Tribolium castaneum: one gene and its partner. The protein of the gene in region 1 purifies or fractionates together with the protein of each later gene. This does not show direct contact. Links are inferred from orthologs where the notes say so. Each region holds a gene or a part of one and is shown in the gene's direction. Other genes may lie near its edges.

Evidence for each region.
Region 2: the proteins of Sf3a1 (region 1) and Spf30 purify together in Homo sapiens (affinity purification with mass spectrometry; 3 studies listed by BioGRID and IntAct, with this or other methods). This does not show direct contact. The link is inferred for Tribolium castaneum from reciprocal best matches to the Homo sapiens genes SF3A1 and SMNDC1.

What each region holds. Positions count from the first base shown.
Region 1 is NC_087397.1:12,582,802-12,587,189, reverse strand, and holds the start of Sf3a1 (splicing factor 3A subunit 1), read left to right. Parts: upstream 1-1,503; 5' UTR 1,504-1,578; coding exon 1,579-1,672; intron 1,673-1,745; coding exon 1,746-1,910; intron 1,911-4,388. Other genes in the region: peroxidase, read right to left, coding at 423-462. UniProt on the Homo sapiens protein: Component of the 17S U2 SnRNP complex of the spliceosome, a large ribonucleoprotein complex that removes introns from transcribed pre-mRNAs.
Region 2 is NC_087399.1:319,584-322,705, forward strand, and holds Spf30 (survival of motor neuron-related-splicing factor 30), read left to right. Parts: upstream 1-1,610; 5' UTR 1,611-1,754; coding exon 1,755-2,495; 3' UTR 2,496-2,574; downstream 2,575-3,122. Other genes in the region: uncharacterized protein LOC103314146, read right to left, coding at 1-1,304; ras-related protein Rab6, read right to left, coding at 2,589-3,122. UniProt on the Homo sapiens protein: Involved in spliceosome assembly.

The sequences.
Region 1 (4,388 bases):
CATGATGCTTCTGCGTGCTCCCTTCATCGACGACTAGAGTATTGGTTTTTAAATGGGTCACGACGCAAAAGTTATTAAAAAAAACAGTTTTGTAAATTGTATCTTTCTATAATTAAAAAAAAATATAATAATAAATAAAATCGGCGACTCTTAAAATAAATTGTTTTAAATAAATAAAAATCTAGCAAGTAACTAATGCCGCATTTTTTTAATTTAGAATGTCCCCCTTCATTTCAACCCCTTCAAATTATCAAAAAACAATTTCTAGCCCACTAGGAAATAAACCAGGCCGATGCGACTGTGGAAATTTCCGTCGCAGTTTCAAACAAAACGGAAGGAAAGCGGCCTTCCGGTATCAATCTTATAACACAAACTCACACTAATCCAACACAAAATAATCAAAAATCAAATAATTAACTCACCCATTGGAAAAATTCGATTAAAAATGAAATTTTCCCGCATATAAACAATAACAAACCACAGGTTATCAACCTTACCAACGCACAACTCCCAACTTGGAAGCGTTGGTAAAAGAGGGCAGCATAAACCACAAACGTACTGTCAAATTCTTCTGTCAATTATCTGTCTGTTTTGAAGCGTCCTCTAACGGTGTAGAGTAATTTAGCTCAAATGTTTAAACATAAATTTTTATATTTTTTTACTTTTATTATGTTTTTTAATTTATTGAACTAAATATTGATCTGTTGAAGCTGAAAACTATCAGAAGTTATAGGTACAACGTTTTTTCAAGGTTCGCTAAAATGTTAAATACTATGTTGAATATAAATTATTAGCTGTTTTAAAACTATAAAAACACCAACGTCGCATTTTACTAAATAATTTTTTTAAATAAGATTAATAAAAATGTAAAATAATTATTATTGATTAGCTTTCCCAAGTATAAATTACATTATCTATTATTTTTTTGAACTACATGAATAATTTATAACACCTAATTCAAAAAAAAATGCGACGTTAGCGTTTTTTTAGTTTTGAAACAGCTAATATATTTTATTTCAGTTTATCGCAGAATTCTGCAACAGCGCATTTGGATTTTTTGGAGTGAAATAAAGCACATATTGAAAGTTTCTTTATAAGAAAAAAATATATGTTAAGCTAAATCTCAGTAACAAATTTTGAGCCAAGAACCCAGAAACTTTCAATTTGAGCTCTACTTCACTCCAAAAAATGCAAATGCAAAATTCTACTATGAGTTGAAATGAGATATAAGCTGTTTCAAATCTATAAATTAGGTTTCATTAATCGTTCTTTTTGATCCGCAACCACAAGCGTTAGTTGTAATATAGATATTAACGTAATACATAATATTATAATACATAATAATAATACATAATATTTGTAAAAAATATAAGAAATAACTACAAAAGTAAAAAATATAAAAACAGTTTACACGCGTAAAATGTTGGTATAGAATTCTGTAAAGACCGCTTGTGGCGCCTCTAGTGGTTTGGAGTATTCATCAATTTTATTTTTTATTGCCATCTCTCTCTTCATTTTACGTTGAGCAAGCGTTTGTTAGCGTGTTTATTTAGCTTATTGTAAGAAAAAATAGTGAAAATGCCGGTTTTGGAAGCAAATAATCCAAATCCGGACGATCCCGGACCGATAAATCCAGTGGTGGGTATTATTTATCCACCACCAGAGGTGAGAAGTATCCTTTGTGAAAATTTCAGATTTGTCGGAAAATTCAGGTTAGATTGTATTTTTCCTGACAATTTGCTAAGATATCGTCGATAAAACAGCCAGTTTTGTGGCCAGAAACGGGCCAGAATTTGAGGCCAGGATCAGACAGAACGAATTAGGGAATCCGAAATTTAATTTCCTGAATCCTGGTGACCCCTACCATGCGTATTATCAGCACAAAGTCAACGATTTTCGAGAGGGGAAAGGTAAGGAACATAAAAATATATTAATCGAGTTGATCAGGTTAAAGTAGACCTATGGTTCTTTTATTAGGTTGGTCACACTGAAGAATATTTGTTCTTTAACCCGGCGTTACTCAGTTGGGGTGTGACAGACCCCAGAGTAAAAAAATGCTTTGGTTTTTTAGATAGGAATGTTATATGTATGCACCTTTCAGTAGATTGCAAAAACATTTCGAATATGATGTAATATATGATTTTCATATAATATAATATAATTTTCACCTGGCTGTTATAATATGTGTGTTGTAGCCGATTTTATGGCTCTGGGGTTTGTTACACCCCACTTACTTACGTTACTACTTTTTACCAAAAATTTTGCTCTATAAAACTAGGTAAAGATTTGACTTTTTTGAAATATTGGACTTTATGTAAAATCGAGTGTAAAATGCTTTGGTATAGTTTCAGAATAACAAACACATTCTTTGATGTGTGTGTCACACCCCACCTTAGTATTGGTGTCCTAAAAACTCACCTGAGTAACGCCGGATTAATAAAGTTTTTCAAACATTAACTAATTTTGAACACTTGTTTATAATGTGAATGTAAAGTGGAATTACTGTTTTTATGCAAAAAAAACCTTTTAGTTTACCGTTCAAGACAAATCGTTTCATTCATCATTTTTCTGCGAAAAACATTCAAGTTCAATTATAAAAAAAAATTATTCTCCTTTTTTATCATTGTTGGTATTTTCGTAGTATTATGTAGCCAAGGTCTGAAGGCGTTTCCGAGACGTAACTTTAACTTTGTAAATAAACAGTTAAGCTGTCTTATCTTTTCTCTAAACTCCATGAAAATACCAACAATTATTCAAGTTTAATGTGGTTTTCATTAAGGATCTTTTTTTTTGAAATTTTGTGAAAACTACACGTATGACATTGCTCTGGACTTCAGAATGCCAAACAAATCATTGGGTGGTATAAATAAAAATGAAGTAGATGCTAATACTACAGTCCAGTGGAGTAAAGACATGGGTGAAGTAAATGCTACTTTTTTAAGTAAATACTTTACTTTCGGGAACAAAAGACTATAGTTAAAAGTAGGCACTTCCTGTTATTAGCAGATACTTCTCCATAGTAGTATATCCCATTTCAGTTCATAGTAGAATTTTTTAACAGCGCATATGCATTTTTTAACATGAGAGTTTCTGGTGGGTTTTCTTAGCTCAAAGTGTGAATTCTTTTCTTATACAGAAACTCAATTTGGGCTTAATTTTTACTCCAAAATACTCACATCCGCTGTTGAAAAATGCAATTCTACTATGAACTGAAATTAAATATACCTACTTCGAAATATAATTAAAAAAATCAATATTTTACTTTAGACACATTACTAACAGAATCAAAAGAAAATTTGGAGTTTGAAGGAGGGCGAACAACTTCATACAGAATTTTAAAAAATATGAGTTACAGATTTCGTTTAGTTAATAGAAGAAAAATCTTTGTGAACAAAAACATGTTCTGATATCAAAAATTGTTTTTTTACGAAAATTTCTTCAGTACCAAAACTCTAAAACACTAAAAATTTTATTTTTGTATATTTGGATGAAAGGTGGATTTATCAAAATGGCAGCAATGTTCGACGGTGGGTTCACGAAGAAGACCTAAAAAGCAATCCTTCAAAAATTAAAAGTGAAGACAAAAGGTTCACTATATTATATGCGGGATGTCGGTTTGCTTTTTTGGAAGGATGTGACCTTTTAATGGATGTGGCGAATAATGACAGAGGCTATCACAAAACTATGAATGGAGAAATATTTCAAACATGGGTGATTAACCAATTAATTCCTGCTTTAGCAAAACTACCATTTAAATCTGTTGTGATAATGGATAGTGCTCCGTGTCACTCGATGCAATTGGAAAAAATGCCCACGTCGTCTTCTACCAAGGGTAAAATGTAGGTATGGTTGATTAATCATCATATAGAATTTGATTTAATACTTCACTAAAAATCAGTTGTAGGATTTAATAAAACCTTTAAAAGCAAATAATTAAAAACAGTACGTAATAGATAAAGTTTTAAATGACCATGGACATGAAGTTCTTTGATTACCCCCATATCATCGCTAGTATAACGCAATTCATTGGCATAGGGGTTTTCTAAGAACTATTATAATAAACATACAAATGAGCAACCTTTGGACAGAAATAAAGTTGCAAATCTATGGTCGGAATCACTCATAAAATGTACACCCGAAATGTGGCAAAATTTCTGTAAACACTGGGAATAATTAATTGCTTCAGATTGGACAAAACACATTGCAAATATTTCTCCATTTATTATTTCTCTAAGTGAGTCTGATTCAAAAACAGATTTTGATGTTTCAGATTCAGAAATTTAATACTTAACACTTGGAATAATTTGATGTCTAATTTGTTAAATTCTTTTTTAAAGTATTTTTTTTAATATAATTCCGCTATGTGTAAATTTCATTTCAATTAAAAT
Region 2 (3,122 bases), on another chromosome or scaffold:
CTTGGTAATTCGCCAATTTTTGCATAATCATGTTCAATGAGAACAAAATCAGTGACTAGATCTTTATTTTCCTTCTCTTCTGTGGTTTTCTTTTCGGACAAGTCGGCAAAAATTTTGTAGGCCTTCTGGACATCGGCTTCTTGTGCCATTTGTTTGTTTATAAGGTTGGTAATCGAACTGGAAGCCAAGATTCGTGTCTCGATCACACTTTTCCTGTGCTCTTCACTCATTTTATCCAACTCTAACATATCGTCAACGAAATTTTTCAAATCGATATTTTCATCATCCGAATTCGTATGAACCGAGACGATTTCGCAACGTTGTTGTTTCTCCACCGAATCACAGTGGGGACATGCATTTTTTTGTGGTGAATCTTTCTTGAGAAATTTTTTCCGCCGTTTCCGACTTTTACGCAAAATGAGCCGATCCAAAGAAATGAACCTGAGCCGACCTTTGCTACGTAGTGAATTAATTCGTTTGAAATTAAACTGATGCGATTTGAGCCCCCAATTAAATTTTCGGCGCTTTGTCACTTTACTCCTCAACTTGACACTTTCGACAATCTTACGAACCGAGTCCTCAAAATCAACAAATTCGCTAAATTTTGACTTTGGGGGCAATGGTAAATATTTATTGGGCGTTTCTTTTTTCTTCTTCGACTCAAAAATGTTCAAATCTTCGAATGATTTGAGGGTGGGGAAGGTGTTTATGTCGTTTTCTGAACACGTTTTTTGGTGGTTTTGGACTAAATTCTTGACTCGCTTCGATCGTCTGTTTCCGAATAACAGTTTCTTCTGTTTCTTTTCGCCAGGTTTCATTAGCTGTAAGTAACTGCAAAGTTCCTTTTTCTGGCTTTCTGGGCTTAGGGGAGTTTCAAAGTTTAAATTTCCATTGACTTTTGCTGTACATTCCTGGCTTTTTTTCTCGTCACTCAGAGCCGCTTTTTTGGCCTGTTCCATATAAGAAAACAAGGGAGTGACTCGCGTAAAACATGATTTCGGCACATTTATTGTGATTTTCTCGCTTTTATCGAAATCATAGCGGATACAAACGCTTTTATTCTCATTAGGGGGCCCCAGATCATCGTACTTGGTCGTATCTATCCATTCTTTGACTTTTTCGTAATGATTGGGGGTGTTATCAGAGTCCAAGACCTTGGACGTCCTTTTGGCACCTTTGTGGCCGTCCCAACTCACGGGAACTCGGTGTATTTCCGAACTTAGGGTTAGAACAGTCACAGGAGAATCGGTGTTTTTGGGGGAAGCGTTCAACGATGCACTCGAGAGGGAAATAACACTTGCCATTACGAAAGTTTAACGTGGTAACGATCACTTAATTTAATTGTTTAGCACACATTTGTACACCTGACTTTGGGGGGACGCTACAACCCCCCCAAAAACGTCAAACAATCAAAAAATACCAAGGGGGCTTGTTTGACGCTTTGGTGATTTTTCTGCGACAGCAGCGCCGCCAAACAAACACGTTTCTCGCCAAAACGGCCTTTTTACACATAGAAAAAATACGAAACACAATCAAGCGACTCAAAAACGTGAATTAGGGCGTATTTGTGATAATCACGATAAGTTTTTATTTTATAAGATGGTTTTTGTGACGCCTTGGTAACGTCAAAATCCCTACAAACCGTGAAAGATTGCAAATGGCCGCCGATTTATTGACGTATTGAACTTGTCAATAATTTTATTAAATAACGGCGAGTTTTTTGGTAAGTTTGTACGTTTTTTGCAACCTGAACGATGGACGAGTTGCAAAACTACCGCCTGCAATTACAACAAGTCGAAGCCGCGCTTCTGAGCGACCCCGACAACAAAGAGCTGCAAAAGCTCAAAGTGGACTTGGAGGAAGTAATTGAATTGTCCCTTGATTTGAAGAATAAGGCAGATGAGGCGGCAAATCAGCCCGAGTACACCGAACCGATTGGGGTGCCTGAAGAAGACGAGATAACCAAGTCGCTCCTGGCCGTTGAGCAGTTCGTTGCTCGTAACAAATCAAAGAAAATCTGGCGGATTGGCGACACCTGTCTCGCGAAATGGAACGATAACGGCCAATATTACGAAGCCCGTATCGATGCTATCCATCCGGACGGACAGGTAAATGTGACATTTGAAGCTTATAAAAATCGGGGGGTTTCTACCTTAGCGGAAATTAAAGAATTCACAGGAGCGAAACGAGTTCTGACTGAAGCTGAACGCTTGAAACGCATCAAAATGATGAATAACCGCGAATATCTCAAAAAGAAGAAGCTGAAGAAACAGCAGAGATTCAAAGAATTGGAGGAAGAGAGAGAAGTTGAGAAAAACAAGTGGCTGGCTTTTACGAATAAAGCCGTGAAAAACAAAAAAAGCGGACTCACTAATAAGAGTATTTTCGCGTCGCCTGATTCGGTGAACGGACGCGTGGGGATTGGCACTTGTGGGATAAGTGGCAAGCCGATGACTGAGTTTACCACAGCGGAAAAGTGGAGGAAAGGGGTTTAATTTTCTTTATGTTACTATTTTTTTAATTAAATAAATAAGATTGTATCAATTAATTATTGTAAATAAATGTTTCACAAAACGAGTTGTTCTTAATTAACAGGCGCAACTGTTGTCAATCGTAACCAAGCCATTTTTCCCCAAACTAACTTCCTGTAGTTCACTGCTATTATCACTCTTTGGTTCCTCACAAACCACCAAACTTTCAGTAATTCGCTTAAATAGCTGTTTAATGTTCAAACCAACTTTGGCGCTCGTCTCTACGAACGTGACGTTCAATTCTTTCGCTTTTTGTTCGCCCTCTTCTATACTGACTTGTCTCAAGTCCTTCAAGTCGACTTTGTTGCCGACCAGAAACACAATAACGGAGTCTCCGCGTTCCATTCGCACGTCATTAATCCATTTTGTGGTTTGGTGGAAGGTTTCAATGTTGGTCACATCAAAGACCACCACAGCCACTGAAGAGTCTCTTATGTAGGCAGGGATTAAAGAGCGGAAGCGCTCCTGACCGGCTGTGTCCCACAGTTGTAAACGCACGGTTTTGTCGGTTAAATACATTGTTTTTGATAGAAAATCGATACCGACTGTTGCCTGATAAGCGGTGTCGAAGCTGTCGTACATGAATTTCGT